Linked DNA regions of Elephas maximus indicus. The protein of the gene in region 2 interacts with the protein of the main gene of each other region in a pairwise test. Links are inferred from orthologs where the notes say so. Each region holds a gene or a part of one and is shown on either strand. Other genes may lie near its edges.

Region 1 (7,734 bases), on a different chromosome or scaffold from region 2:
GAGTTAGCTATATGCTGTGGGTGTTCTCAAGTAGTTAAAGAACCATTTTTATCAAAGTATTACGTGCACATAGTTTAAAAATTCAAGTGGTACTAAGATGCTCATGAAGCAACAGTGACCCCCTGGCCAACCCTGTCCCAAGGCCCTTCGACCCATGCCAAGCTGCACTTTTTTAAAGTGCCACCTATGAGGATCGAGAGCAGCAGGCTCGAAGACTGACCCCTAGCCTCCTAACACCAGTGTCCCCAGGCAGCCATCATGGGATCTGGGCCCCAAATAAGGGGCCTGTGTTCTCCCTTGTCCACACTGGTCCCACTGGAGTGTCCTCAGAACGGCTGGCTGAGGTCCAGGGAGTGACCTGCAGCTGGCCCAAAACATCAGCCTCAGCAGCAGCAGCCCACCCTTCCCCCGAACCCCATGGACAAGGGCTCCATTATTCTCTTCCCTCAGGCCTCTCAGCCCACGGGAACAGCCAGTACCCTCTGCCCAGGGTGTGAGGCTAGAGAAAGACTGGAGATCTGAGACACGTGTCTTTACAGAAACTGCTCAGACAGGCTTCCCATGAAGGGCCCACAGCCCTAACCAGCTGGCAGCCCTGACTTCCTCAGTCTAGTATGCAGCTGAAAGCTCCTCCAAGGGGCTGAGCCAACTCCCCCACCATCTCCGCTTATCTCCTCTGCAGCGACCCAGAACCCCCCCCCGCTAAGGACGAGGGAACCTGGATCTAGCACAGGCTCTTACCTGGAACCCCACTGGGGGGTGAACTTGGCTGGGGCGGGGGGCTCTGCCCAGACCCCACAGGACTGCCATCCAAGGGAGGCTGAGCCGCATCCATGCTGGGCAGTGCCTCTGTCTCGGCCTCAGTTATGGTCCCTCTGCCCTGGGAGTGCTGGGGGCCAGCCCCAGCAGGGTTGGGCCCCTGACTGGGGGTGAGGTGCGGGGCTGTCTCCTTGTCCCACTCCCACTTGACCGCCAGCGTGCTGTCCAGCACAAGGGCCCCACAGCCGGAGTCTGTGTCCATGACGTAGTCGTGGCCCTGGCCGCAGCCCCACACAGCTTGGATGACGCCGCAGTACTCAGAAGAAAGCATCCTTTGCAGGCTGGGCAGGGCCCCGCAGCCAGCTGCGTGCCCGTGCACCCACCCAACCAGGGCCTGCAGGCACCGGGGGCTCCATGTGACCAGGTCCGCTGAAGAGAGTCGACAGAGTCAGCCCTGGCCAGCACCTGCCACCCCGGCTGCCCGTGTACCCGGACACTCACCCGGACACGTGCCCTCCTCTGCAGCAGTCTGGGACTGAGTCCCGGCCCTGCAAAGGATTGTGTGGCCATGAGCAGGAGGAGCACACCTAGCAGCTCAAAGCTCTGTCCTACTTTCATGGCTGTCCCCAAGGTCTTGAATGTCCTGCTGTCCTTCAGATACTATCCACTCTCCCTGAACCACCCTGCCCTCCCCGTCTCATAGCCCTGCTTGAACCTCACTCCCCACGCTTGTATAGTGGTGCTCACACCATATGCCCTCCGCAGAGGTTCCCAGCCAGGCCTGCTCCCACACCTGCCCCCAGAACAGCACCTGAGGTGCCTGGAGGACACTGCCTGGCCAGTGAGTGCCTACTTTGGACAAGGCTTCCGGCGGCCAGTTGGGGAGACGTTGACCCTCTGCAGGAAGGAACCGAGGAGGCTGTGGCACTGGTAGAACTGGGCATGGCAGTTCTTGCAGACGAAGGATGACAGGGCTGGATCCTGGAGAACGGGCACCCCCAGAAGGCGCTGGAAATCCCTGATGAAAATGCGCTCCCCAGGGGGCGTTCTCCCCACACTTTCCCCAGACCCCCTGCTGGAGATGCTGCGGAGACTCCTTGAGGAGAACTTCCCGTGGCAAAGGCGGCAGTGCCCCATGGCGAGCGCCCGGCCTGGTCCTGGGCAAAGCAGCGGGGGACATGAATGGTCAGCGGGAGGCCAGCTCCTGAACTCAGCTGCTCTGCTCAGCTTGGGCATCTGGGAAAAAGCGCCCTAAGCCAAAGACCACTAACCTAAGCGGAGGAAAGTGCTGGGCTCCCAGCTCAACATTTAGGCCGAGACAAAGCTTTTTAGAGGAACTTCCAGTCCAAAAAAAAACTTTCAAAATATCCTAAATATCTCCACAGCTCCGACTACGGCCCGTCTCGCCTAGGCCCCCCTCACACAAGCGCCCCTCAACCCGGCCCCCCAGCCCCGTCGACCTTCACCCCGTCGCCTCGCACACCATGCCCCCTCACCCTGGCCCACTTCCCCCGCCCGGGGAACTCGAAGTGATAGTGCTGGCACCTGGGCTCCCCTTCCGCCCAGAAGGGTGACGCAGAGCCCACCCGGCCCACCGAGCAGTAACTCCCTGGTCCTCGCGACCCCTCGGTCGGCTTGAGGAGAAGGGCTGAGGCTCAGAGAGGGTGAGTGGCCACCTCAAGGTCACAGCGCGGCGAGCCCGGCGTCCCCCGGCCAGTCCACCCCGCCCCGAGCGCTGGTCCTGACGTGCCGGGCCGCCCCCCCATCCCGGACCGCTCGGCCGCCTCTTCGCCCCTCCTCCAGGAGAGACCCGGCCCGCGCCCCCGGCCCCCGGCCCAAGTCAGGCCCACATACCTGCCTCCTCAGCGCCGTCCTCCGGCGCCGCCGCCGCCGTCCCATCCGGGCTCAGCCCACAGCTGCGGGCGGGGCGGCCCCGAGCCCGGCCGCCTCCACAGGCGCCACCGCCCGGGCCCCCGCGCTGTCGGGCCGCCCCGGACGACAGGAAGCGACCGAGCCGGTCCCGCTTCATGGCGGCGACCCCACCTAGACCCGGCCCGGCCCGCTGCGCGCACCGCGCACGGCGCGCGGCCTCGCCTCGGCCCGCTCGCTCAGTACCCCTCGGCTCCGCTCGGCCCCGCTCGGCCCGCCAGCACAGTCAGACTCGCCTCCGCTCGAGCCCGCTCGGCTCTGCTCGGCCCCACTCGGCTAAGTTCGGCTCAGCTTGGCTCCACTCGGCCCAGCTCGGCCTCACTCGGCTTGATGGCAGGGGGCGGGGACGTGGTGGGGCGGGATGGAGGGCGGGGCGTGGCGGGGGCAGGGCTAAAGGCAGGGGGCAGGGGGCGGCGGGGGCGGGGCCCGTGCGGGCCGCGGTCCAAATCTCTGAGGCTGTACCGCCCTGAAAGCGTCCCGGTGACGTCCACAGGCTCGCTTCCCGCTCCATCCGCGAGAGGAATAGTGCCCAGCGCTGACGCCTAGAGAGCGCCGGCCTCGGGCTAGGCAGTGGGCTGAGCCCTTGACGTACGGCGACTCATTTAAACCTCGTGGCAGGCCCGTGAGGGACAGCAGACCCGCTATACCTCTTTGTGGAAGGGAAACGAGGCGCTGACGGGCAGACGCTGGGCCCCAAGAGTTACGCACGGAGGTGGTAGGCCCTGCTCGGTCCGCCAGCACGGTGCCTTTCGGCATTGGAGGGCTTTTCAGAATACTTAGCCATGTTGCTTGAAGTTTCCTTTGATTTTTTCTTCTTTTTTGCAATTTTTTATTTAAGTACATACACATACAGAAAAGTACCAAAATCATAAAGCGCAACTAGCGGGACTGTTCGGAGTTAGAGGGGTCCTGGACGTGGAGCGAGGGCTCGGCGCTCAGGGCAGCTACGTGAAGACGTTGTCATCGCTAATCCGCTTTCCCAGATGGGGAGACCCGGCCTGCAAGCCGAGGCCCGTGGTCCAGAGTCCGCTCCTGGACCCTAGCAGGGCCTGGCCTCGGATTACCAGGCCATGGTTCCGCCACTCTCGCCTTGGCTCATTCTGCCGCGGGAGTCTTGCTCCTGCGGCGGAGCAGGACGACGGAAGTGCTTCCAGCAGGGACCGCCCCGTCCGGCGGTCCGTCGCTCCGGCGTTCCACTGCCCGCGCAGGCAGAGTTCCGGGCTCCCGACCGCCCGCCCCGCCCCTTGACCGCCACCACTGCCTCCCCCGCCCCGCACCATGGCCGCTGCGGCCGGGGATGGCGCGGTGAAGCCGCTGCAGAGCGCTATGAAGCTGGCTAACGGGGCCATCGAGCTGGACACTGGCAACCGACCCCGGGTGAGACAAGGGGAGGCGGGGTCCGGCGGAGGTTAGCCCCCCGGGCGGGGGCGGGAGGCGGTCGCGGCGACGGCCGGGAGGGACCCCAACCTGCTGCAAGCCGGGTGGGCGAGGGCAGAGCCGGCCAGGCGGCGAGGTTGCTCTCGGCCCTGCCCGAGCTTCGGCACTTGGGGGCGCCCACGCCCACCTTGGGGTAAGAAGGCTGGACCCGGCGGTGCTGAGGTCTTGCCCTGCTCTGCGACCTTGGACAGCTCACTGCCCTCTCCGGGCCTCAGTGTTCTCGCCTGTTCAATGAGTCGGGGAATCAGAGCTGAGATGATATTGTAGAGGGGATTCAGAAATGTCTGTGAACTAACCCCCAGAGTTTTTTGTGTGTGCATCCTTTCTTCCTTTTTTGTAGATTTAATCAGATTCCCAAAGGGGACCGAATCCAGAAAATATTAACTGTCAGCCCAATAGTGCTGCTTTGGCTGTTCAGGGCCTGTCTGGAAGGAAATGCAGGGGGTGGAAAGGGTGGCTTGTTCCTGAGATTGGGAGCTGACTCTCAAGGTGGGGACCAGGTAGAAAAACCGCCTGGGCCACACCAGACTGCCCAGGGTAGGGAAGAGGCTGTGCGTGCCTAAGAAAAACATCCTAGTTTCTGAATCTGCTGCTTCTCCCACATTTTTTCTGGGACACCAGGTGCCCCCACAAGTCAAAAACCCTGTCCACAATCTGCCCTGGTCTTACCTCTGAGTAGACTTAAGACGGGTGGCTTGATAACTGGGATGCCAAAAAAAGGACAAAAAACCATCATGCCATGGTTCTTAATGTCCTGAGCAGCAGAGAGTGTTCAGCACTAGTCCTCTGACTGCTGTGTGCTGAGGGGTACTCACCCTGAGGATCAGGAGAGGGATTTTCCAAAACCTAAGGCAGGAAGTAATTCTAAGATTTGCAATATCATACCTCTTTAACATCACAGGAAATACTTATTTAAAGCCACTGAATGAATGGCTCCTGAGTCATGACACAGGAAGAAAAATTATAGAGCGTAAAAAGTGAGAGCAACTGCTGAGGCTGCTCCCAGCCCTACTCTGCCAGAAAGAAGCGCAGTGAAAGGAGGACTGGTGTCCAGCTGGTCTCGGCACCCAGTGCCTACTGCAGATCTTGTAGGAAGATGTGCTTTGGCGTTGTTTGCAGGTGCTGACATCTTTTCCTTCAAGTCTTAGAGAGCCAGGATACTATCATTAGACTACTGCACAATTACCAGCCAACTACAGCAGACTAGATGTCTCTGGTGTATCTCATGATAAGCAGGCACTGCTGTTTCTGTGGGTCCAGGCACTGCATTTTCCTGGAGGGGCACCAGGCAAGTGCGATGGACTCATTCACCTCCGTAGCCCTGATCCCTGCCATTTCTTTTCCCTGGGCACAGGAGGCATATACAGAATATCTGAGGAGCATTCACTACATCTCCCAGGTTCTGTTGGAAGAAGCAGAAATGACCAAAGGTATGGCTCTGAACGTCGCAGGTCCTCCCCATGCTGGGCTAATCATGGGAACATAGCCCTCAGAGAGTCTCAGGCCTGGACATCTCCTGCCAGCATGATCATTAGCAGAAAGTGGACCAATAGCACTCAGCAAGCACCAGCTGCAATAGCATGATGCAGGGGCCAGAACGGACAGGTGCTGCAGGCAAGAGGATGGAGAGCTGGGGTGGGGTGTGATGGGAAAGGCCACAGAAGCACTCCTGAGGAGATGACATTGAACCCACTGATGGATGGAGTGACCCATGCCAGGGTCTGGAGAAGGCATTCCCAGCAGAGGGATGTGCAAAGACCCTGAGGTAGGAGTGGGTGGTGTGTTTGTGGAAGGCCAGTGGAGAGGGAGAAGGTGAAGTTAGGGTTGGGCAGGTTGTGCAGAGCTCTGGGTACCTTGGGTTGGCATTGGAGTCATTCTGATGTGAGGAAAAGACCATGAAACACTTTGAGCAGCAGGCAGGAAGCCAGATCTGTGTACAAACACAGGCGAGTGATAGGGTGCCGAGAAATGAGGTTTTTCTCTCAGCACGTCCTTATTTGTGAAATGACATAGCAGCTGCATGGCCTATCTCACACAGAGGGGTAGAGTACAGGAAAAGCCCTCAGTGAGGAATAAAGAAAGGCCTTGTTTAGGTAGAGAACTCCAAAGGTCCCCTTTCCAGTGAGGGAAAGAAAGTTAATCAGATGCTGGGCTGGCCAAGCCTGGAATCTGCCTCAAAATCAAGAGGTAAACCCAGCTTTCCCATACCTTGTTTTCACTTCAGCAAGAATCTGATTAGCAGTCCAGCTGAAGGTAACTGGCCTTTTTTTCTCCTGTTCCCCCAGAAGCCGGGGAAACAGTGCCCCTAGACACCTCGAAGATGCTGAAGTTGGCTGAACAGTGTTTGGAGAGGGCCCAATCAACTGCTGCCAAGCTGGGTGGGTCTCCAACAGAGGGAGGTTTCCTGAGTACACCCAAGTCTGTGTCTTTTTATGGAATGTGGGGCCATCCTACTGACCCGTGGCCATGTATGGCTTACAGGGAAACCATGCCTGAAGCCAGCCAAGCCTATGACTGCTGCAGTACCCTCACCAACCAGTCGACACCGCCGGGTGTACTCAGATGAAGGGGGCAAGCTCTCTCCTTTTCTACCTCCTGAAATCTTCCAGAAGCTTCAGATGGTGGAGTCACAAAACTCTAAAAAGTAAGATGGGCAAAATGGGGTGTGAGTTGAGCCTGGGGATTGGGATTAGAGGCTGGGCAATATGAGTTGGCCACGGAAATTTAGTCAAAATAGGTCCCAGAATGGGAATTCCCTTGTACCTGAGAGAAGCAAAGGCAAAACCTACTTGGAGGAAAGCATTTTGCTTTTTCATAAAGTTGAATAACACACTGTCAAAAATAACCAAACACATGAGGAAACAAGAAACTATTAGGGAATGACAGCAGAAACAGACCTGCAAAGTCTCCAAATATTGGCGTCATCAGACACAGATTATAAAACAGTTATGTTCTTTATATCTAGAGAAACCAAGAAATTATAAAATCTTGAGCAAGAAAACATAAAATCTGACTGAGGAAATAAAGAATTAAGTAGGACTTCTAGAAATGAAAAATGCAACTGAAGTTACTATTTAAAACTAACTAATATATATATATATATATATGTTTTCTAGTAGAAATAAGCCAAAAAAACAAAAAATGGAGTGGACAAGTTTATAACAGGAGAGTAGACATAGCTGAAGAGAGAATTAGTGGATTGGAAGAAAAGTCAAAGACACCCAGAATGCTTCATAAAAAAAAAATAAAAGAGCGATGGAAGGTCTAACATAAGTTTACTGACATTCTAGAAGGTGGAGAGAAAGAAAATGGCAGAGGGTCATTATGTTGAAGACAATGGTGGACAATTTTCTAGAATTGATGAAAGACATCAAGACACAGATGCAAGAAGCCCAGTGAATCCCAAGTAGGACAAACAAGGAGGACCTGCTCCTCTTGGCCCTGCTCTGGCCAGCCCTCCAGGCTCTTCAGGAGGTTCCTCCCAACCCCTCAGTCACCTCATCTCTGCATGTATTGCTGTGGGCACAATACTTCCATCCCAGGAAACACTTTCCCTCCTCAGTCTTGTTTCCCTTGGACCTACCCTCTACCGCCCTGAGTAGAGGAAGA
Region 2 (7,442 bases):
TCTAGTTAGCCTCTCGGGTGAAAAATTCCTGGGTCATAAGGAACTTCAGTCAACTGGAATGCCAATTGTGTTCTTTAGTGGGTAACCAAACCAAAACCAAACCCACTGCCGTAGAGTTGATTCCGACTCACAGTGACCCTATAGGACAGAGTAGAACTGCCCCATAGAGTTTCCAAGGAGTGCCTGGTGGATTTGAATTGCCGACCTCTTGGTTGGCAGCCGTAGCACTCAACCACTGCACCACCAGGGTTTCCTTAGTGGGTAAACGTCTTTTAAACCTGGAAAGATTTAGAATTAAGTGTAACAATGTTTAAGAGAATCAAAACCATAGTTGAGAAGGCCTCACTGGGAAGATAACATTTGAGTAAAGTCCTAAAGGAAGTGAGAGTGTCACATGGATATCTGGGGAAAGAGTGTTCCAGGCAGATGGAAGAGCAAGTGCTAAGGTGGTGAGGCGAGGCCGGCTAGGAGGCTTGGAGGAACATCAAGGAGTCATAGGAAGAGGAATGGAAGACACAGTCAGAAAGTTAAGCCAGATTCTAGGAGGACATAGGTAGGTGGAATGAATTTCTACAGGGCCTTGCAGACAGCTGGAGTTGGGGAAACTCTGGCTTTTAATCTGCATGAGATGGTGAGCCACTGATGGACTTTGACAGAGAAGTGACAAAAACTTCCCTCAAGGACATGAAAAAGCTTACATCAAACCCTTCAAACATTACAAACGTATATCACTGAAGGGGTTAATCTCATTAGACGGAAATTCTACTTTATCTAGAAAATCAGATTTAAATGATATAGGAGGAATCAAGTATTACCCTATGTTACAATGATTCTGCTTGGCCCAAATCATTAATCACCAGCAACGCCGTTGATTTCAGGGCTATGAGGTAAGGTCTGGCCTGGTGGCCTTTTTCGTGGGATCAGAAATTTAAATGGCCATACCCCTGGAAGGAGCCGCCCCCTCACGTGGCCTCCAGCTGATGTGTTAACGCTGACTTCCACACACGCCCATTGGGTGAAGGGTCCCAGGCCACCGACTCTCACTTCTCATTTACCACTTGTGTGGCCAGCAAAGTTCCCAGGACTAATGGGGTCTGGTCCCTGGTTATGAGTGAAGGGCTCTTGCTCAGGGCGGGGGGATAAAAAAGGACGTGGAGACTTAGGGCTTGAATCCTCTGCTGAGGAGTTTGGGCTCTATTCTGATAAAGATCTGTTAAGGCTTTTTGAGCCAGGGAGCTATGTGACTAGCTTGCTCCTCTGGAATATTCTTCTGGAGGTGCTGCCATTAGGAGGGGGTGTGGAGGAGGACCAGGAGACTAGGCACATTGGAAGGTCCCCCTCTTTCTCGTTCACCCCTGGCCTAGAGGGTCAAACAGTGTTTCCTCATCTGAAAATGAAATAGCCATCACTTTGACTGGGTGGTTCTTTTATGTGAAATACCTACAAATGAAAGCACTCCATTTACGAAATAAAAGTTCTGCAAATATAAAGGTTTATTAAAAATAGAGGTATTACTGAGGAAGTTAGTTAAAAGCCCGGTAAGTGCGATTCCAACACTTCCACACAGGTCTTGGAAAGACGGCGAGTCTGGCTATTCGTACAATCAACCGTCAGTAAACGCACTGGTGGGATAAAGGGGCCAAACGGCTCATTTACGGAACGGGCAGTCGGCACAGGCAGATGTGGACGCCTGGCTCCGTCATAAAACGAATCTTGTTGCTCACCATTTGTTAGGTGTAGTACGCCTGCCTTCGGTTCTATGCCCAGATCTGTTGCATCAGGATACAAAACCAAACGCTGGAGAACGTGTTGAGAAACTCGAGCTACCGCACGGGGAGCCACCCTCCCAATAAAGCGCCCGGGACCGCGCGGGGAGAAGCCCCGGGTCCCTGCCCCGCCTGCCGCACCGCCCCATTGGGCGGGCCGCCCGTCATTCAGCCGCGCAGCCCGTGTCCGGCCGGCCGCCGACCCTCCCGGAGTCCGCGACGCCCGACGGCTCCAGACACGCCCGGCACCGGCCCGGCGCCGGCTTCCCGCCGCAGCCGCCAGGAGGCTCTGCGCGCCTTCCCGCCTTTCCCCGCGCCGCGGCCGGGCTGGGCGGCGAGGCGGGCGCCGCGCTCATCGGGGACCGCCAAGCGCGGGCGGGCGGCGACGGCGCGGCCATTGTCCCGCAGTCCCTCCCGGGCGCGCAGGAGGGGCCGGTCCCGCGGGCGGGGAGACGCGGGCGGGGCGGGCGCGGGAGCCGGTGCGCCCCGGCGCCGCCCGCCTGTCCCGCGGGCCGCCCGGCCGCCGCCCCGAGGCCGTGCCCGCCGCCCCAGCTCTCCGCGCCTCCTTTGTGGCCACCTCCAGCCCCTCGGAGCCGCCGCGCCGCCGCCGCCGCCGCTGCGCCCGGGGCTGCAAATGGCGCCCGCTGGCCTCTGCGCCGCCCGCCGCCGGCCCGAGAACGTCTGGGGGCGGCGCGCCCCGGGCCCGCATCCCGGCGCCGCTGCCGCCCGGGCAGTCGGAGCCCGCGGAGCCGGAGGCGCCTCAGCCAGCAGAGAGGCTCGCGGGCCCGTCCCGGGCAGCCCCGACGCCCCGCCCGCCCTCCGCCCGTGCCGCGCGCAGCCACTTACCCTTACGGGTCGTGCGCGCGGGTTGGGAGAAGATTCCAGGTTCTCGGCGGGGGAAATAACCCCTTTACGAAGCCGTTCCTTTGCGCCCTAAAACAAGTAGCCCCAACGTGAGAGAAACAAAAGGTATTTGCTGACGTGGGCGTTGGACAGAAACGCCCGAGGGCTGGGGACACAATTAAAGGGGCAACGCACAGATTTCAGGCACCAACCAGCAGCTTCGCCCACTCCCCCTGCCCTTGCCTACACCCCGATGCACCCTCCAGAAGCACTGGGTGCCCAGATTCTCTAGCAGTTGACTGCGGAATCATTATTTAGTCAGGAGCTTAAATTTTAAATTGTACTTTACGTTGAGAAAGGCGCCTCCGGAGGGCAGAAAGGCTGGATTTCTAGGATCTGGGGAATTTGGTTTAGGGAAGAGGGAGGGACTTAGGCGTGCCCACAATTACTGTATAAGTACATGTGACATTATTGTACTTAAGTTTAGCAACGTCAAATGTAAGAGATTTCCACAGAATTTTTCTCTTTATTGAAGCAATTATTTTAGTCAGGGGTAACCTTTTCTAAACCTCTATAGGTGACAAGCATTTTATTTGAAGAGGAAAAATCCAGAGAAGCTGAAATAAGAACATAATTCTTAGTTCAGAGGAAGTATAAAATCAGTACAGATAGCATGTTTTGTGTTTTAAAATATAAAAATTCATTGTTACAACAAGCTTTCTGACATTTATGTTTCTAATATTTAGTACAAACATCAGTATATACATTTGCTAAAATAGTAAATCACTGAATTTTCACTGTTACTAGAGAAGCGTTAATTCTGCATACTAGTTTTCTAGTTCCTTGTCCTGGGGCCAGGTACTGAAAAGTACAGTATCATATAGTAAAACTGAAAAAAAGACTCAAATTTTCAAAACTCATATTTAGCTTTTGAGTGGATTCCTCTCCTATGCCATAATGAGTCATATTGAATGAAGTTTATTACTTTGCTTTCAACAATAATTTGCTGTGATTTTGAGGATCATACCTTCTGTGGGAAGGATAAAAAATATTCAAGTATCTCTTAATAATCACTTCTGTATTACTCCAGAGGTGTGTTGCCATTTAGTTGTGTCTCCTCATCTTCTGAACAGGTAGAATCTGTTTATCAAACATGAAAACATATTTGAAAACCATCAGGTATCAGGAGTGTTGAGTGTACTCTGCTAGCACCCTCGTTGAGAATTCTTCCAGAGAGGCCTAGACATTGTTACAGCAGGAAGTTTTCATTTTAGCCTAAGTTAATTAAAACATGCAAAATAGTTCTACAGACATGGTTGCCAGAAAGGAGAAATAGGAGTTTATGATTTAATTAATAAGGGAGAAGTGAGCGTGAGTAGCTGTGCAGCCAGTCCTCCTAAAAAACTGAAACTGGAAGGTCCAACGAGGTCCAAGACAGATTTTTTTCTTCACCTTCACCCTCTCAGCTTCAAGAGTTGGTGCTTCTCTCTGCTGGTGCTGCACCATTAACCAATTCAGGAGCGCTTATTCTCTTAAACTCTACTCCCCCCACCCCCCACTCTTCAGTCCCAAGTCTCGAGGGAAATCATTCATTCCAATTTTAAGAGGTATAATTCAGCACCTAGGAGTATCTGGGTGGCACAGACAAACACTCAGGTGCTAACAGAAAGATTGGCAATTCGAATCTACCTACAGGTGCCTTGGAAAAAAGACCTGGTGATCTAATTCTGAAAGCACCTGGCCCTCGAGAACCCTAGGGAGTGTAGTTCTGCTCTGAAACACATGGGGCTGCCATGGGTCAGAATTCACTTGAAAGCAACTGGTTTTGCTATTTAACACCTACTTTTTTATGTTTTTTTTTTTTTTATGGGTAAGGTGGAAACCCTGGTGGCATAGTGGTTAAGTGCTATGGCTGCTAACCAAAGGGTTGGCAGTTCAAATCTGCCAGGCGCTCCTTGGAAACTCTATGGGGCAGTTCTACTCTGTCCCGTAGGGTTGTTATGAGTCGGAGTCGACTCGACAGCACTGGGTTTGGTTTTTTTGGTTTGGTATGGATTTTTTTTTTTTAATGGATAAGGTGGGGGGAGCCCTGGTGGTATAGTGGTTAAGTGCTATGGCTGCTAACCAAAAGGTCAGCAGTTGGAATCTACCAAGCGCTCCTTGGAAACTCTCTAGGGCAGTTCTACTCTGTCCTAATTGACTCGACATCAATGGGTTTGGTTTTTTATGGATAAGGTTGGAAACCCTGGTGGCATTGTGGCCAAGTGGTGCGGCTGCTAACCAAAAGTTCAGCAGTTTGAATCCACCAGGTGCTCCTTGGAAACTCTATGAGGCAGTTCTACTCTGTCCTGTAGGGTCACGATGAGTCAGAACTTACTCGATGGCAACGGGTTTGGTATTTTGATTTTATGGATAAGGTTCTGTGGTTTATTCTTGGAATGCAGTGTTTAACAAAAAATAGACCTGGTCTCTCTGCCTTCATGGGACTTGGCAGTCTAGTGGGGGAGACAGACAGTAATCAAATAAATATAATTTAAAAAATTTAATAAATCATGAAGGTGAGGTCTGTAGTGCTGTCAGCATATAGATGATGTCGTTATCTGTCTTACGGGGGAAGGAGGCTTAGGGAGGGCTTCCTTGAGGAAATGATCTTGACTGAAAATCTGAAGTAGCAATTAGTAGGCGAAGGTGAGAGTGGTAGGAAGTATTCCAAATAAAAGGATCAAAATGTACAGAGGTTCTCGTGAGGAGGGAGCATAGTATGAAAGACTGAAGAGGCTGGAGTGCATGCAGAATGAGGGACAGTGAGGAGAGATGAGGCAGGAGAGGTAAGCAAGGGCCAGACCAGCCAGGACCTTGTAGGCCATGTTAAGTTTGGAAGCCGTTGATGTATTTTATGCTCTGTGGGCTGTGTAACATGATGAGATAAGCATTTTGAAAAGATGACCCTGGCCTTATTGTTAGAGAATATATTAGAAGGGAAGTGTTAAGTGTTCCTCCAGAATCCTAAAATCTATGCCTGTGGTTATAATCCCATTTGGAAATGGTTATCTTTATGTTATGAGACGGGATTAGTGTAGGGTGTGTCATAAATCAATGTCTTTTGAGATATAAAAGAGATTAAACAAGCAAGTGAAAGAAGCAGAGATGGGGGAAGAGAGATGCCAACTCACATGAAGATCATCCAGGAAGTGACAAGGACCTTCCTCCAGAGCTGGCATCCTGAATTCGGACTTCTAGCCTCCTAAACTGTGAGAAAATACATTTCTGTTTGTTAAAGCCATCCACTTGTGGTATTTCTGTTATAGCAGCACTGGATAACTAATGGAGAGTGAATTGCAGTAGTCCAGCTGAAAGATGATGGAGCCTTGAAGTAAAGTGAAGGCAGAGGAGATGGATAGAAGTGGAGAGACCAAGAGAGATAAATATTAGAGGTAGTAATAGGTTGGTTACGGGGAGTGAGGGAGAAGGAAGTGTCAAAGACAACTCCAAGCCCATTAGCTTGTGAAACTGGATGGATTGTGGTCTTACTCATGGAGAGAAAAGATTAGAAGAGGACCAGATTTTTGGGGGGAAGGGGGCTAAGAGGGCCACAAAAATTATAAATTCAGCCTGGATATGTTGAGATTGAGGTATCTTTGAGCTGTCCAATTAGAGATGCAGATTGAACATCTTGGCATCTTCATTATTTTTGTATATATACCATTGGAACCTCGTTTATACGTCCGGGGATTCCTTACCTTATGAGTAATTGGTGCGAGGTAGAATTTGCTTTCTGCAATAGCATCTAGAAATACCAGAGACTTGCTTTCTCAGAATCCCTTGCAGCTAGGAAATTACTAATGGTCTGTGCTTTGATAATCAGATGCACTCACCAAGGATTTTGCAGATGGAGTTACGACACCGAGAAGCAGAAACCTCAAAGAATCCTCTGGCAGTGGTGACAGTTCCAGCAAAGTAGTATCTCCAGGCGCCATAGTGGCCGTGCTGCTAGTGATAGCGTTCACTTTCCAGTGCCAGCACTATCAGTGACACAAGCTGTCATGCCTGAGAGCAGTTCGGGTGTCCTCACCAGGCCAGTTTTGTGGTGTGACTTTAGCTGTTGTTTCTGACTGCCTAGCATAGGCTATATCTGCAATCCTGTGAACATTCATTCTACTTAAATCAGCCAGGGCTAGTCTTCGTGCGACCAAAAACCCTGAGTAGTTCAAAGGGTCAAGAAAGCAGCTGGATATAGGGACTGGACCTTAATAGATAAAATTGCTTGCAGTAAAACTTTGACATCACTCTCATGTAAATAAGAATTAAAACTATGAATGTGGATACAGAGAATATAAAGTGAGAAGTGAAGAAGGCTGAGCACACCATTGTTTAGTGGATGGTTGTTCTTAGCTGCCATTGAGTGGGCACTGACTCATGGTGACTGTGATGGTCAGTGCTGTGTGTCAGCTTGGCTAGGTTATGGGTCCCAGTATCATGTAATTGTCCTCCATTTTATGATCTGATGCAATTGTCTTCCATTTTGTGGTATCATGTAACTATCCTCAGCTTTATGTGTTATAAATCCTAAACCTCTATATTTTAATGAGGCAGGATTAGTGTGGAGTGTACCTTGAGTCACAGCCTTTAGTAAGTCACTGTACCTCAAATCACTGCCCTAGTCAAATCACACCCTTATCTGACGTAAGAGGAGTTTCCTTGAGATTGTGACCTACATCCAATATATATGGACACTCTGGCAAAGCTTGGTCTTGCTCTGTATCCTGCATCTGGCTTGTCATTATCTGACCTCTGGTTCTTGGGACTTGAACTAGCAGTCTGCCATCGGACCTA
Region 3 (7,158 bases), about 42 Mb from region 2:
AGCCTTATCTGGTCGGAACCACCACCCAGTCTTCTGGGGACAGCTTTTAGCTCCCTGAATGCCCATCAGTGCAGCAAGGCTCTGGGATGCCCTCCAAAGCCTCCCTGGGGAGGCAGCAGCCCCACCTCACCGTGAGCAGATACTCCACAGCACGGTGGGGGTTGTTGTAGCTGGCTCTCAGGGCAGCCACAACCCGCTCCCGCTCATAACCCATGGACATGATCTCTGTCAGCATCGTTTCATACTCAGAGCCAGTCACTGTGTAGGAAGAAGGCCTGGGTCACCAGGGAGAGGAAAGGGCAGCACCCAGGCCCTCCCACACCCAGGGACCACCCACCCACCTAGCGTGGAGGCCGCATCTTCCTCTCGCCCGCTGCTACCTGAAGAGGGAACAGAGCTGCAAATTCAAGAGAGAGAAATCGGACCCTGGCTTTTGCCAGCTTGCCCTCCTTCCAGGTGCATGGGACCACGTATGTGGGTACTGGAATGTACTGGGAGAACAGAACCCAAGCTGGAACTGCCCCTCTGCCTTACCCTGACACAGACTCCGGGGACATCGTGGGGACTGATTCCTCTGATGGGCTCTTGTCCTCTTTGGCCGTAGGTGGGGGATGAGACATGCCTGAGGCAGGGGCTGGCAGGAAGGATGTGGAGGACTCAGGGGCAGCAGTGGGTGAAGTCTCTGGGGGTGCCGAGGTGCCTGGGCCAGCTTTGGCCTGTGGTAGCCAGGAAAAGGGAACGGTGTTAGCACCCCTATCAAGCTCCAATATCCCGCCTTATTGCAGCCCCACCCTGCTCGTGGCTAATCTGTCCTGGGCACATGTGCTCTTAGCCAGCTCCACAGCAAATCCACACACCCTCCCAGCAAGCACGCTTCACCAACCTTGGTCACCATGACAACCACAAAGTTCTTCTCATCTATGCGATAGTCCCTGATGGGGACATCGTCACTCAGGATCTTGCCGGCATAAATAAGCTTCTGTCCAGCCACGGGAAAAGCATCCCGACCCTTCTCAGCTTCTATCTTCTCCTTTAGGACCTTCACCTGAACGAAAGAATACAGAGCCATTGCAAACCCCCCAGGAGTCCCTCTTCTTGTCCAGTCTGGGGGGAGTGGCTACAAGCCCTGAAAGGCAGAAAGGCTAAACCTCATAGCCACGCGTACCAGATGTGAATCTGTTGAACCATCCCACCGTTCAACAGATCGTTTACTGAGTGCCTTCTATGTGCCAGGTGCTGTTTCTGGCACTGAAGTCACAGAAAATAAAACTCAACACATGGCCCTGCTCTCATGGAAACGACACTGGTGTGCGGAGAACAAAAGGAATATTTTTTTAAATAACATAAAGTGTGCTGAAAAATAATAAAAAGAAGCGTCCCCCATTCTATGCTGACAACCTTGGGCATTAAGACTACACAATATTTACTTAAAACATCTTATGTCACTAATACTATCCTACATGTATAGGTTATCATACACATGTAAGTTCTCATCTTATATTTGCCAAAATAGACAGGAAAGTTAAGCAACTTGCCCAAAATCAAACAAATAAGCTGGTCAAAAAACATAAGTCTATTTTCTTTTCTACAAAAAGTGGGTTTTAATGTCTCTCTTAGGGGGTAGCTGTGCAAAAAGTGGCAAGTACACCGGTTAACACACTTATTACGTTTAAGTCCTAAGCTCCTTCCAGCCAAAAACAGCGTAGTGTTCAGACCGTAAGCTCTCACACTAGGCAGAATAGAATTAGAATTCTAGCTCTGCCACTTATTAGCTATATATGACTGTAGTAAAACGAAGAATATCAGTTTCCAAACAACAAGCTGTTTTACACATTTAGTAAGACAATAGCACCAAAAAGCTCAATCAACTAGTAAAGAATAAATGGACCACTAAAACCAATACGATTCGACCGTTTATTATCATCTTCATCGCTGTCATCACTCCGCATCTCCCGATCACCAATCCTGGATTCAGCTGCCAACGTTCCGAGAAGCTGCCTGCAAAGCCGGGAACGCGGGAGCCCCCGCCCTGGAGAGCGCGACCCGGCCGGGAATCCGAGCCTACGGCTTCCTGCGCCCCGCGAGAGAGCACTGACATTGGAGCCGGGGCCTGGCGGGCGCCCCGGGGGTGGGGCCTCGCCCCAAGACTCGCCAGGGAGCGGCCGAGCCGCTGGGGGCTGGGTCGGGGACCATGGAGGAGATCCGAGGAGGTCCGGCAGGTGGGGAGACGACAGGACCTGACCCGCACCCACCTCTGCGCCCCTCTCACCGGGATCCCGGCCTCCCCGCCCCCACCCTACCCCCGGCACCCGTCGTAGCTCCTGCCCGCGGGGCTCAGCCCGGCCCGCACCGTCTCATCAGGTTCCATGCGGATCTTGAAGGTCTGCTGCTGCAGCGTTTTGAGCGTGATGGTGACGGCCATGGCAGGGCCGAGCGACGGATCCTGGCCCTGGGATCCTCACACAACATGCAACTCACGCCGCCGCCATCTTAGCGCCCAGCAGCGCCGCGCGCAGACCGCTTCCGGGGCAGATGGTGCGCGCGCCGGCCACCGTGCACGTGACCGGCGCGTGGCTCTTAGGTTCGTGGGCTGGGACCTGCGCGTCCTCTGACCAGGCATGCGCAGATTAACACCACTCCTGGGGAGCGGGGAGACTCCTTGCACAGCGCGCCCACCCGTCACGTGGCTTCCTGGGAGTGACGCCATGCCGGTTAGCGGTGACGTCATGTGGTCACAAAATGGCTCCGGTTTCCCCTGCTTCCACGCGGAAGTGACTTAAAAAATTATTTTTGGTGACGTTGAATAAAAGTTATGTACTTACATTTCTTCTGTTAAATGTTCATGTTTTTGCCCATTCAAATGAGCTTTGTATTATTCCAGCTGTGGAGCCTTGAATGTGGAAACTACTCAAGATGGGAAAGGATACCTGGAAAGTCACCAACAATTTAGAAAAACTCATTTGGGCGTGGAAACAGAAGGAGCACTGGAACGATTTTGTGGTTTCACTTATTCGCTCCTGAAGAGGATGATTTTTGGGGCCTCCCACCGCTGCTGCTATTTGTCCAGCCACTTTGGTCACAGAATCCTGGGTCTGACTCCAAAAACACTTAATGAAGACGTTAACTTAAAAGGCTTCCTTCCAATAAATAGCCACAGCGCACACAAAGGAATGGAAGCATGAAGGAGCAAGTGGAGGGAACAAGGGGAGTTAGGTTTGCCATCACAAAGCCCGTGTTTTGAGACTGGATGGCTTGGAGGAGCAGGCTTGATTCCCAGTTAGGGTATCGAAACTGGAAGCCTGGAGGCCAGAGGAGGCTGTGGCAACAAACCTGACCTTTCCCCAACTGACCATCATTAGCTGCCTCCAAACCTGCTGCTCTCACAGTTCCCATCCAACTCACCCAGGCTGGGCACTGGACAGTCCTCACCAACTGCCCAACAACTGTAACCAAGTCATGCTGCCTCTCTCCACTCCATGCCCTGAGCCTATGCAAACCTCCACCAGCACCAGCCAGGAGCAGCTTACAGCTTCTTACCCTCTCCTGAAACAGGGTCCATCAACTCCCCCATCCTCCTCACTGGGCTTTCACCATCTTGCCATAGGCAGCTTCCTGGATCTCCACCTCTGCTCTCTCTGCACTACCTCAAGCCCTCTTTCCCCTCAACGGGTTCAGACCCCATCATGGCTATGGCTACAGAAGACCACAGGAACTTGGGGTTGTGCTTGAACCTATTTCCTCGATTATAAAAGTAAATAGCTTTTAACTCCAGCTGGTATTAAAAAAAAGTTTAAAAGCACTAACAGCCATGTAATCATTAGGTAATAGGGACAGAAAAAAGCTCAATGACGAGATAAACCATGAGACAGTGTTCAGGTGTGGATTGAAATCCCTGCCCCACCACTAAGTTCTGTGCCTCAGTCTCCTCACAATCAAAGCAAATAGGTAACAGAACTAAAAGAGTTAATACGTGGAATATTTTTTAACAGTTATCCTCCGATTTGGGCTCACTAGACAAGCAAGGGCCTTTGTAACCTTGTGGGATGACACTCAGCCAACTCTTCAGCAGCTGAAAAATGAAAATTCAGAGAACCCATTACTTAGGAGCCAACCCCCCCCCCCCGAAAAAAAGGCCATCTTTGGTTCCCAGATGTCCATCCTCCCCCGAAAAAGGAAACACAGAAGGAAGACACAAAACTTAATTTAATAGAAATTTTGCATGTAGTTCTTACATTCTCAGTATGAGCTGAGCTGGAACCTGCTGCCCCACCCAGAAGTGGCCCAGTCCTGGGAGTAGGGAGAAAGTGGGGGCAGAGCTTGGGCCCTAAGAGCCCCATTCTTTCTCAGTGCTGGGGGCGCTGGGATGCCACCCCTTTCTCCTGATGCCCCCCGGACTCCAGGAAGGAGAGCAGATGGAATCTCAGGCCTGGGCTTCTCCACACCCACTCCCTGACCCCCAGGCTGGAAAGGAACTAAGGGATTCAGGCAGAGAACAGAGGAAGGAAAAGATGTGAAGAAAGATGAGACCCAGGGGTGGGGGCTGAGGGAGAATCAAAGACAAAACACCAGTAAAAAAAAAAAAAAAAGGAGGCGGGGACAAAACCAAAACCCACCCCAAATCTGAAACCGCCTGGAAAAAGTGAAAGTTCTCCAGTCTCATAGAGACATTATTTGGCGTGGCCGGCTCTGTGGCAGGAGCGCTCAGGCCTCAGTCCAGCCCCAGAGGCAGGTGGCATGGCCTCTACAGCTCATCCTTGGCCTGGCCCACATCTTCCTCCTCATCCTCCTCTTTGTCCTCTTCATCCTCATCATCTTCATCTTTGTCCTCCTCTTCTTCTTTGTCCTCTGCCGCCTCCTCTTCCTTGCGCTTCTTGTCCTCTTCCTCTTCCTTTAGCCTCTGCTCTTCGTCCTGCTTGTCCTTCATGAGCTTTTCTGCAGCCTGTGGGCCCAGACCATACACCTCAGAGCCTGTCCCCTACCTGCCAGCCCTGTCCACCCCCAAACCCAGGCCTGGGGCCGGCCCCACCTTTGTGACACCCCACGTCTCGTTGCCAAACTCCTCAGCATAGGCCTCGTCGTTGGTGATGAGGAAATTGTCAAAGATGGTGCCAGACTTGACCTGGGGGTGAGTGGAGAGAGAAGTGATTAGAGATGACACTTGGTGGCCCTAGCCTTGGACGAGGCTCACATCTGTGTTCCTATATTCATTTTATGCTACCTCGGTCTCTACATTTCTTTATAAACACATGTACAGAAGAATAGCATTGCTAATATTACAGTTAAAAATAGACAGGGACTGCAGTCCACCCACCTGACTTTAAAATCCCAGCTCTGCTACTTCTCATTTCTTCACTCACTTATAGTTATCAAGTACCTACTGCGTGCCAAGTACTCTTCTAGGCGGAATATACACCGGTGAACAAGGAAACAGACACACAAAAATTCAGAACTACAAATGCAAACTTCTAATGGGGTGATCTAACCGCCTTATGGGCTGGGAGAATTGAGTTGATTCAAATAAAGGTATTTGAGAAAACTACCTGGCACACAGCAAGTGCTCCCTAAAAACAGGCCAGGAAATACTTCAAGAACAGAAAAAGGATCATTTTGGAGTCAGACCTACCTGCATTTGAATCCTACCTCCTCTGTTCCTTGTCTTCTGGGTTAAGATTCTGTCACTCCTCCCCCCCAGGATCCTCCTTCCTCCTCCCGCTGTGCCTCACCTGCCAGAGATCTAGGCCCAGCACAGCAAAGCTGTCATAGGAGTAGATGTTAGCATCAGGGGAGTACTCGGGGTTGTCGATCTCTGGGTGGATCCACTTGCCCTTGTAATCTGGGTTGTCAATCTGCCGGGGTTTCCACTCACCCTGTGGAGGATAAAACCTGATGGTGGGCAAAGTTCTGTGCCCTCTCCACCATACACCCCAGCCCTACTCAGAGCCCCAAGCCCACCTTGTACTCAGGGTTCTGAATCACGGGTGGTTCCCACTCTCCATCCATCTCCTCATCCCAGTCCTCGGGCTTCTTGGCATCGGGATCAGGGATGTGCTCAGGCTTGTCCCAGTCCTGGGCGTACACAAGGAGGTCAGAGTCAGCTTGGCTTTCTGTCCTCCACACCCTCTACTGTGGACAGCCCTGGCCTAAGCACCAACCTCAGGCTTGGAGTCTGTGGGGTCGTCGATCTTGGCCCGCTCATCCCAGTCTTCAGGCTTGGCAGCACTGGGATCCTTTATCTTCTTGGGTGGCAGGAAGTCCCAATCATCTTCCAAGGAGCCTGACTCTACCTGACTGTTGTCGATCTTCACCTCATAGGTGTTATCGGGCCTCACGATCAGAGTATACAGGTGTGTGAATTCATCATCCTGGAGAGGGCGGGAAGTGAGTGGTCCCGCCCACCCGGCTGGCCTTGGATCCTCCCTGGAAGCCCTCTGCCACCACCCCCAGGCAAACCTTGCAACGGATGTCCTTGTTGATCAGCACGTTCTTGCCCTTGTAGTTGAAGATGACATGAACCTTCTTGGTGCCTGGGCCACAGATGTCAGGGCCTAAGTGGGAAACAGGTTCAGTTAGAGCCAAAGGCTGCCCACACCAGGAGCTCCCACCCCTCTTTGCAAAAGACTTCATTCTCAAAATCCGTATGTTAGTATAGACCATCTTTTAAGTCTAATAGACTGTGTGTAGAACCTTAAATTAAAAAGTTATCACTGCAGAACTTAGTATCCTCATTTATAAAATGAGGCAACAGCTACTAACGATAACACAGACACTTATAAATCACCAGCATAAACTCAGCTAACTGTATCTATTCTCCTAGCTTTCCTGCTATGGAAATGAGTGTCAGTAAGTTCTTTCTGTAGTCTCAGGACCACCTTTCACGGTTGAAGAGCCCAAAGGAAGGGTACAGAAGTCACCACTGGGCAGGGCCCCTCACCAAACATGATGTTGTATTCAGAGTCCCCATGCATGTCCGCCTGGTCTAAACCATCAGGAAACAGCTTCACATAGCCGCCCCCACAGTCGATGTTCTGCTCATGCTTCACAGTAAACTGCACTACCAGCGTCTTGTCTTTGTTGCTGAAAGGCTCGAATCTTGCCGACAGGGCGTAGAAGCGGGCGTCCTGGCTTGTCTGCAGCCCTGGCATAAAACGGTGATGAGGA
Region 4 (7,226 bases), on a different chromosome or scaffold from region 2:
GCAGCCAGCGTCCCGAGTGCGGCCCATGGTACAGTTGGGGAGAATTTCTGAATCCCAGGGGCAGGCGGAGTGGACTCCCTCTGGCCCAGAAGAGTCAGGAGCTGGAGGCTTCAGCTACTGCTGGCAGGTTCTTTTGCAGCTGCAGAGAAAGTGGAATCTAGAAATAAAGGGAAGATTTGAGGGTTCAGACTCCTCCTCCTTTTGTGCCTTTGCATGCAGACATACTGAACCACAGACCAAGAAAGGGATGGACATAGCACAGGCCCAGGGCTTGGTATCTAAACCACCTAGTCCTTTCCTAAGGAGCTTATTTTGGAAAGTTTCCGACCTCCCCTTCCCCCAACCCACTCTCCAAAAGAACAAAACCAACCCCCTGGCAGTCAAATCAATTCTGACTCATAGCGACACTCTAGGACAAAGCAGAACTGCCCCATAATGTTTCCAAGCCTGTAATCTTTATGAAAGCAGACTGCCACATCTTTCTCCCACAGAGCAGCTGGCGGGTTGGAACCACCCACCTTTCAGTTAGCAGCTGAGTGCTTTTAACCACTGCACCACCAGGGCTTCTCCCGCCCCACACCAGTGCATTAAATTTAAAGTTTCTAACCATTTCCCTGGAGTGTTGGTGGTGCAGTGGTTAAAAGCACTCAGCTGTTAAGCAAAAGGTCAACAGTTCTAACCCACCAGCGGCTGTGTGGGAGAAAGCTGTGGCAGTCTGCTTCCATAAAGATTACAGCTTTGGAAACCTTATGGGGCAGTTTTACCCTGTCCTACGGGGTCCTTATGAGTCAGAATCAACTCACCTGCAACGGGTTTGATTTTGGATTCAGTTTCCAAGGAGCCCTGCTAACAGAAAGGCTGGTGATTTGAACCCACCCAGCCGCTCCAAAGGAGAAAAGACCTGGTGATGGCTCCTGTCGAAAAATCACAGCCTAGGAAGCCCAATGGGGCAGTTCTACTCTCTCACATGGGAGGGTCACTATCAGTCCAAATTGAACGGAGGGCACCTAACAACAATCAGTCCCCTACCACCTTGCCCTTCCAGATGTCCCAGGACAGTAGCGCCCTCACATATACTCACACTGATCTAGGCAGGCAGTTTCTTTTTTCTCCTCTTTCTTGCCTCAAGGTGCAGGTGCACTGCCTCCTGAAAACCTGCAGGCAAGGGGGTCAGGAGGGGGATGCTGAGAGCTCTAGGGACAGATGGCCCTCACATCAGTAGGGACACACTTCCCTCTCATGAATCCCAGGCCCTCCCCCTGTGTTGCTTAACTTTTCCCACTTTCAGTTACTCTCCACTCAGAGGCACTGCTTTGAAACTCATTCTCTCCCTCTCCCTCCTCCTTCCATCCTCTCCTCTGACCCTCCCCTCCCTCCCCCCCCAGCTACTTCCTCAGAAGATGACGCCACACCCCCCTCCTTGTAACAAAGTGGATGGTGGTGGGGTGACAGTGTCTGGAAGCCTGAGAGGTGTGAAATGCATAAAGGTCTGGGAACTCTGCTCTTGGCTTCGCACCTCCACTATCTCAGGGGTACCAGGACAATCCCTGTCACCATTATACCAACTTCCACTGCTCCGGAGCAATTTCCTTCTTCCCTCCCTCGGTTTCCGCCTCCACGAAACCTAAGGAATAAACAACTCTGGAACTGAGCGTTTGGTGCGTGGATCAACAACAAAGACAGCGTGTGCCTGCTATTCGGAACAATGTCCTCCCCACCTCCACCTCAGGACTCTCCTGAATCCGTCCCCTTCAGCCACTGCCTTCCCTGGCTTAGAGCTGCAGAGTCCTTTCCTTTCCAAACTCCGAAATAGTGTGCAGAGAGGAGGGAAGGGGGAGGTGGAGGAGACCCACGGCCCCCCTCGAGTTTGCGGTCTCCACCATCCTCCACCCCAGGAGCTCGAAGCAGTGCTACCACCTCGCTCTCACCTACTTGGTTCTGGACAATTTTCTTCTTCTTCGGTAGGCTTCGGCAGGCTTCGGCGTCACCCTGCAGATTGGTCTTCAGGCGCAAGAGTCACAGACACCGACAGGCGACAAGGCAGAGACGGAGGACTCCGCGGACAGAACAGCACTCGAGAGGGTCCCAATACCTGCTTTTCTGAATTCAGGGTCCTGGTTGTCAAAGGGATTCCACCGTTTGTCTCTCACCCTACCCCCACTTCTTAGGACTCGGCTGACACCAGCACTCTCCTTCCCGAGGTCCCCGGCCCCGACCCCCTCCGCTCCATCCCCACCCCCCAGCGGTCAGCCATTTTCCCAGCCAAAACCACGCCTCTTTCCAGCCGCGGAAAGGGAGGGGGCGGGGCGAGAGAGTGTGGAAAACCAGCGGAGCGCGAAACGATCTGTCCAGTCCCCTCCCCAACCCATCCCCGCCCCTAATAATAGCCGTTTTTCCTGTGAGCGCTGCCACATCTTTTGCCTGTATAAAACGGAAAGAAGATTGCTGGAGAGTCAGGAACGGGCCCAAGATAAGGCAAGGACCTCAGCCATCCTCGCCCTTCTGGGGACCTGCAAGGATTTGGGGCAGATTCTTTATTCCCTTGTTCCTACTGGTACAGCGCCCTACTGAAAGAAGACAAGGTGGAATGACAGACGGTCAGGCAGACGCACAGCCCCCAAATTCTGGTTTGGTGCATGGGCCGGCACACAGGACACTAATCCTTAATACCTGCCCTTTCCGATTCAACATCTAGGATGCCAAAAGTTTCCCCTCTCCTGGTCTGGAGCCTCCCCCGGAATACGGCCCCCGAAATCCACTATTTTTATTTTTGAAATGGCTAGGTATAGTTCAAGGGAGCAGAGAAAGTAGGCTGTGTCCCCCTTCGGTATCCACCCTCCACTACCGCACCGCAGGGGTCCCGAGGCAGCTCCCATTCACACACAGACCTGCTGAGATGGGGCAGATACCTCCTCCTCCTTCCCCAGGAACACAGGCTCGCGAACCCTCAAGGCTATAGGGGGTTGGCAACCGAACCAAATGTAGCCCAGGATTAGAAGGACGTCTGCACTCCTTGGCTCTGCTCACGTGAGGGCCACGTCACCAGTGAGCTCAGGACCTCGATTTCCACTCCCACCAGCAGTGCGGCAGGAGCCAGCCCGCGCCCCCTTCCCTTCCCCACGACATCGGGTCCTGTCATTCATTTTCCTCTTTGCCAATCCCACAGACCAGAAGTAGCCCCTTCTCCTTGGAGTTAGATTTTCCTTTCTTTGGTTGACAGAAAGAGGCTGCATTTGCTCCAAGGCCATTGACCTTTTCTGCCCCTTTGAGGAATAATGTTTTTCTCTTCTCTGCTCCATGTCAAGCCGCCTATCCCTTCGCATCCCCTTCCCTCAGCCATGAAGGCCCAACATTGCCCCTGCACCCCTGTAGGAAATGGAGGGGTGGAGGGGACAGGGTTTCAGAAGAGGAGATAGGGAGTGGAAATCAGTGTCTTACTTTATTCTGAAAACTTTATATTCATTTTTTAAATCAATATGCATTGCTTTTGTATTGAGAAAACAAAATAATGCTACTTTCACTTGTGTGGAGAAAGATTTAACTTGAAGGAGGAAAAAACAAAAGGCCTCATTAATTTCATTACATTTATTTGTAACACCAGGAAAATGGTTCTATTGATTACAGCTGAATAGCAGCATTCAAAACATAGGTATCTGATTTAAAATTGAAAGCTGGAATTTCTTCCACCACCACCCCAAAATCAGCAAGATTTTGGCATGATCTACTAATTGTCCACGAAGAGATGCCAGTTGTCTAATCTTGGCCACTTTATGTAAATAATCCTTTACTTTTTCTGGATCACCTTGCGGGGAAACCTTGGTGGCATAGCGGTTAAGTGCTGCGGCTGCTAACCAAGAGTTCAGCAGTTTCAATCTGCCAGGCACTCCTTGCAAACTCTATGGGGCAGTCCTACTCTGTTCTATAGGGTCGCTATGAGTCGGAATCGACTCGACGGCAGTGGGTTTGGTTTTTGGTTTGGATCACCTTGCAATTTGATAAAATAAGTCATTAAAATAAAAGCAACACAGTCCTGTCTTGTTTTAGTACAGAAAATCATGTATTTAACCTCCCAAAGACTTGGCTGACTGCTCTGTGAACCTCCTGTGATTTGATGGCTGTTCTGAACACCTGCTCCTGGATTAGTTTCCACTCTATTGAGTCCAAGGCAGCTGAGGGTCTGAGGACTGCAGAGATGGTCTGATCCTCCCAATCCCCCCTGCCCTGTAAAGAAGTGGGGAATGTGCTGCTTCCCCCACCTCTCCCATATTCTGAAGCATCACATCCCCTGCTTCAGACACCTGACTGTTGCTCACTCCAAAAATATACATGGACATGTGACCAAGCTGGTGACCTGAGTAGCTGCCTTTGGCTCTTTCCTTCCCTCCTCCCGTTCTCCACCAAATCCACCAAGAAGAAACTCAGCCTTTGAGAACTGCTATTCCCACCTACCCTTGAAGCTGGTGGTTTTCAAGAAGCCTGAAGAAGTGATTGCTGAGAGGAGAGCACCCAGGCCTGCCTGCTCTCTGCCTGTAGTCACTGCTGACACCCACCTTGCCTGAGAAGTGCACCCTGTTGGGCCACTTATCTCTGGTCTCCTTAACTCCAGGGCATCCAGGAAGAACTTAGCCTTGATGCAGGATCACTGTTTTCCAGTCCACACCCACCTTGGTGCCCCCTCAGGCAAATTTATGACTGAGCCTAAGGCATTCTCCCCATGATCATACTGATAAAGCTAGCGTAGGTGTGTTCACCTGACCAAGTCCGTGGACTACCTGAAATTGTATGCAAAGTTGTGTTCATTTTAGTGGGGAGAGGGGTCATAGCTCTCATAAGATTCTCATAGGCAACTATGACTTAAAAAAAATAGTTAAGAACTACTCACCTAGAAAAAAAACATACCCCCCAAAAGGAATATCTAATCTGTCTTTGGCTCTGTCTCTCTTTCTCTCTCATGAAAGTAACACATGCTCCTTATTTTTTTAATATGAAAACAATGCCGAAGTGTATGAAGTAGAGTGCAAAGCCTGTTCCACCACCAACCACCTTCAACAATTTCCACCTTTTTTCATGCAAATACAAAAAATATATGTATTCATGTATGTCAAGTTCCAAGTTGAACAACAGTATACTTAAGGAAGACTATTGGTATTTATTTACAATACAGCTACACTTTAATTTGAGAATAACTGACCTCTTTAAAAATTGAGTATTTCTATCCAGGTCAGCTTTTATGGTCTTCGATAAACTTTATAAGCGTCTTCAGGTAGGTCATACTCATTACTTGTTCAGTTTATTCCATGGTTAATGTTACCGTTAAGGTTACTTTAGTGCTTTTGTGAATGGCATGTTGCCTGTCTAAGGAAAAGTAATTAATTATGATATATTTGTCTTTAGTGAAATTTCTTATTATTTTTAATAGTTGTTCAGTTGATATCTTTGGCTTTTCTAGGTATGCATACATAACCATCTGTAGGTGATGATTTTTCATTTCTTCCTTTCCAGTATTCGTACATCTTTTTCTTTCCTTTTCTGGATGGATTATATTGACCAGAACTTCCAGAAGATGGCGGGCACCCTGATCTTGTTCTTTTAGTTAATGGGAATGCCCTTAATATTGCACTGTTTAGTGTAGTGAACGCAGTTTGTTTCTGATGTATTCTTCTTCTATGTATCTGTGATTGAGAGGGAAAGGATGTATAAAAGTTGCACTTTCATAATCCTATATTTAAGACTGAAGAAAATACAATCGTCCATATCATAATATTGGGAGGTGGGGAGAGCTGCCACAAGTGCTGTGCTTATTGGGAATATAGCTGAGCAAAAGCAGGCACTGACCTTGGTCTCATAGGGGACACAAGGCCTTATTGAATTAAATACACATAGGCACAGAGAAAAACACTGCGAAGGAAAGGAGAACTGTTAATGTAGTAAAAGAAGTGGTACAGTCTGGCTGTAGAGAAAGCCTCCTTGTGGGGGACAGGGAGGGATGTACAACTTGAGCTGACATGAAGGAAAGCGGGTATTGACTAGGAAAAGAAGGAAGCAGAAAATAAAAATGTCTCAGATTCTCCACCCGTCTGATAAACATTGTGATAGCCTATCTACCCCATCCTAGGATAAACCCTGTGACAATCACTCCTAACTTTTTAGTTGGCCCTGATTGCACAGTAGCTAAGCTCTAAGTGCTCAGCTGCTAACCAAAAGGTCAGCAGTTCAAACCCACCAGCTGCTCCACGGGAGAAAAATGTCACAGTCGGCTTCTGTAAAGACTAGAGCCTTGGAAACCGTATTGAGCATTTCTACTCTGTCCTATAGCATCGCTATGAGTCAGAATCAACTTGACAGCAATGGGTAGGGTCACATAGATTTAAAAAAAAGTTTATATGTAATCGAAGCATTATTTGCAACAAGAAAGAGGTAGGAACAACCCAAGTGACCATCAATAGAAGAATGGATAACAAATGTGGTACACGATGGAATATTATTCAGTCATAAAGAGAAATGAAGTTCTGATACATACTATAAAGTGGTTGAACCTTGAAAGCGTTATTGTTGTTGTTAGGTGCTGTCGAGTCAGTTCCAACTCATAGCAACCCAGCATACAACAGAACAAAACACTGCCCGGTCCTGCACCGTCCTCACAATTGTTAAGTTTGAGCCCATTGTTGCAGCCACTGTGTCAATCCAACTCACTGGGGGTCTTCTTCTTTTCCCCTGACCCTCAGCTTTACCAAGCACAATGTCCTTCTCCAGGGACTGGTCCCTCCTGATAACATGTCCAAAGTACATGAGACAAAGTTTTGCCATCCTCGCTTCTAAGGAGCATTCTGTCTGTAGTTCTTCCAAGATAGATTTGTTCATTCTTCTGGCAGTCCATGGTATGTATATTCAGTATTCTTCCCAAACACTATAATTCAAAGGCGTCAATATTTCTTTAGTCTTCCTCATTCATTGCCCAGCTTTCGCGTGTATATGAGGTGATTGAAAATACCATGGTTTGGATCAGGCATACCTTAGCTCTCAAGGTGACATCTTTTTGTTTCTCAACACCTTAAAGAGGCCTTTTGCAGCAGATTTGCCCAATGCAATACATCATTTGGTTTCTTGGCTTCTGCTTCCACGGGCGTTGATTGCAGATCCAAGTAAAATTAAATCCTTCACAATATCAATATTTTCTCTGCTTATCATGATGTTGCTACTTGGTCCAGTTGTGAGGATTTTTGTTT

The links.
Region 1: the proteins of ZBTB8A (region 2) and ZNF276 interact in binary tests that used the Homo sapiens proteins (3 or more experiments, as listed by UniProt). The two-hybrid records come from large-scale screens. The link is inferred for Elephas maximus indicus from reciprocal best matches to the Homo sapiens genes ZBTB8A and ZNF276.
Region 3: the proteins of ZBTB8A (region 2) and RAD23A interact in binary tests that used the Homo sapiens proteins (3 or more experiments, as listed by UniProt). The two-hybrid records come from large-scale screens. The link is inferred for Elephas maximus indicus from reciprocal best matches to the Homo sapiens genes ZBTB8A and RAD23A.
Region 4: the proteins of ZBTB8A (region 2) and ARMCX1 interact in binary tests that used the Homo sapiens proteins (3 or more experiments, as listed by UniProt). The two-hybrid records come from large-scale screens. The link is inferred for Elephas maximus indicus from reciprocal best matches to the Homo sapiens genes ZBTB8A and ARMCX1.

Annotation. Positions count from the first base shown.
Region 1 is NC_064839.1:54,863,621-54,871,354, reverse strand, and holds the start of ZNF276 (zinc finger protein 276), read right to left. Parts: upstream 3,003-7,734; 5' UTR 2,789-3,002; coding exon 2,614-2,788; intron 2,011-2,613; coding exon of another isoform or gene 1,917-2,010; coding exon 1,613-1,916; intron 1,308-1,612; coding exon 1,261-1,307; intron 1,189-1,260; coding exon 742-1,188; intron 1-741. Other genes in the region: VPS9D1 (VPS9 domain-containing protein 1), read left to right, coding at 3,967-4,065, 5,480-5,555, 6,411-6,503, 6,607-6,769. UniProt on the Homo sapiens protein: May be involved in transcriptional regulation.
Region 2 is NC_064821.1:73,378,769-73,386,210, reverse strand, and holds the start of ZBTB8A (zinc finger and BTB domain-containing protein 8A), read right to left. Parts: upstream 3,007-7,442; 5' UTR 2,959-3,006; intron 2,953-2,958; exon of another isoform or gene 2,700-2,952; 5' UTR 2,613-2,699; intron 1-2,612. UniProt on the Homo sapiens protein: May be involved in transcriptional regulation.
Region 3 is NC_064821.1:31,605,288-31,612,445, reverse strand, and holds the start of RAD23A (UV excision repair protein RAD23 homolog A), read right to left. Parts: upstream 3,012-7,158; 5' UTR 2,423-3,011; coding exon 2,351-2,422; intron 1,046-2,350; coding exon 884-1,045; intron 717-883; coding exon 535-716; intron 398-534; coding exon 342-397; intron 259-341; coding exon 131-258; intron 1-130. Other genes in the region: CALR (calreticulin), read right to left, coding at 4,742-4,939, 5,027-5,119, 5,724-5,867, 5,953-6,066, 6,153-6,362, 6,451-6,545, 6,932-7,135. UniProt on the Homo sapiens protein: Multiubiquitin chain receptor involved in modulation of proteasomal degradation. Binds to 'Lys-48'-linked polyubiquitin chains in a length-dependent manner and with a lower affinity to 'Lys-63'-linked polyubiquitin chains.
Region 4 is NC_064846.1:56,625,152-56,632,377, forward strand, and holds the start of ARMCX1 (armadillo repeat-containing X-linked protein 1), read right to left. Parts: upstream 3,018-7,226; 5' UTR 1,933-3,017; exon of another isoform or gene 1,929-1,932; intron 1,625-1,928; exon of another isoform or gene 1,517-1,624; intron 1,156-1,516; 5' UTR 1,082-1,155; intron 158-1,081; 5' UTR 28-157; coding exon 1-27. UniProt on the Homo sapiens protein: Regulates mitochondrial transport during axon regeneration. Increases the proportion of motile mitochondria by recruiting stationary mitochondria into the motile pool. Enhances mitochondria movement and neurite growth in both adult axons and embryonic neurons.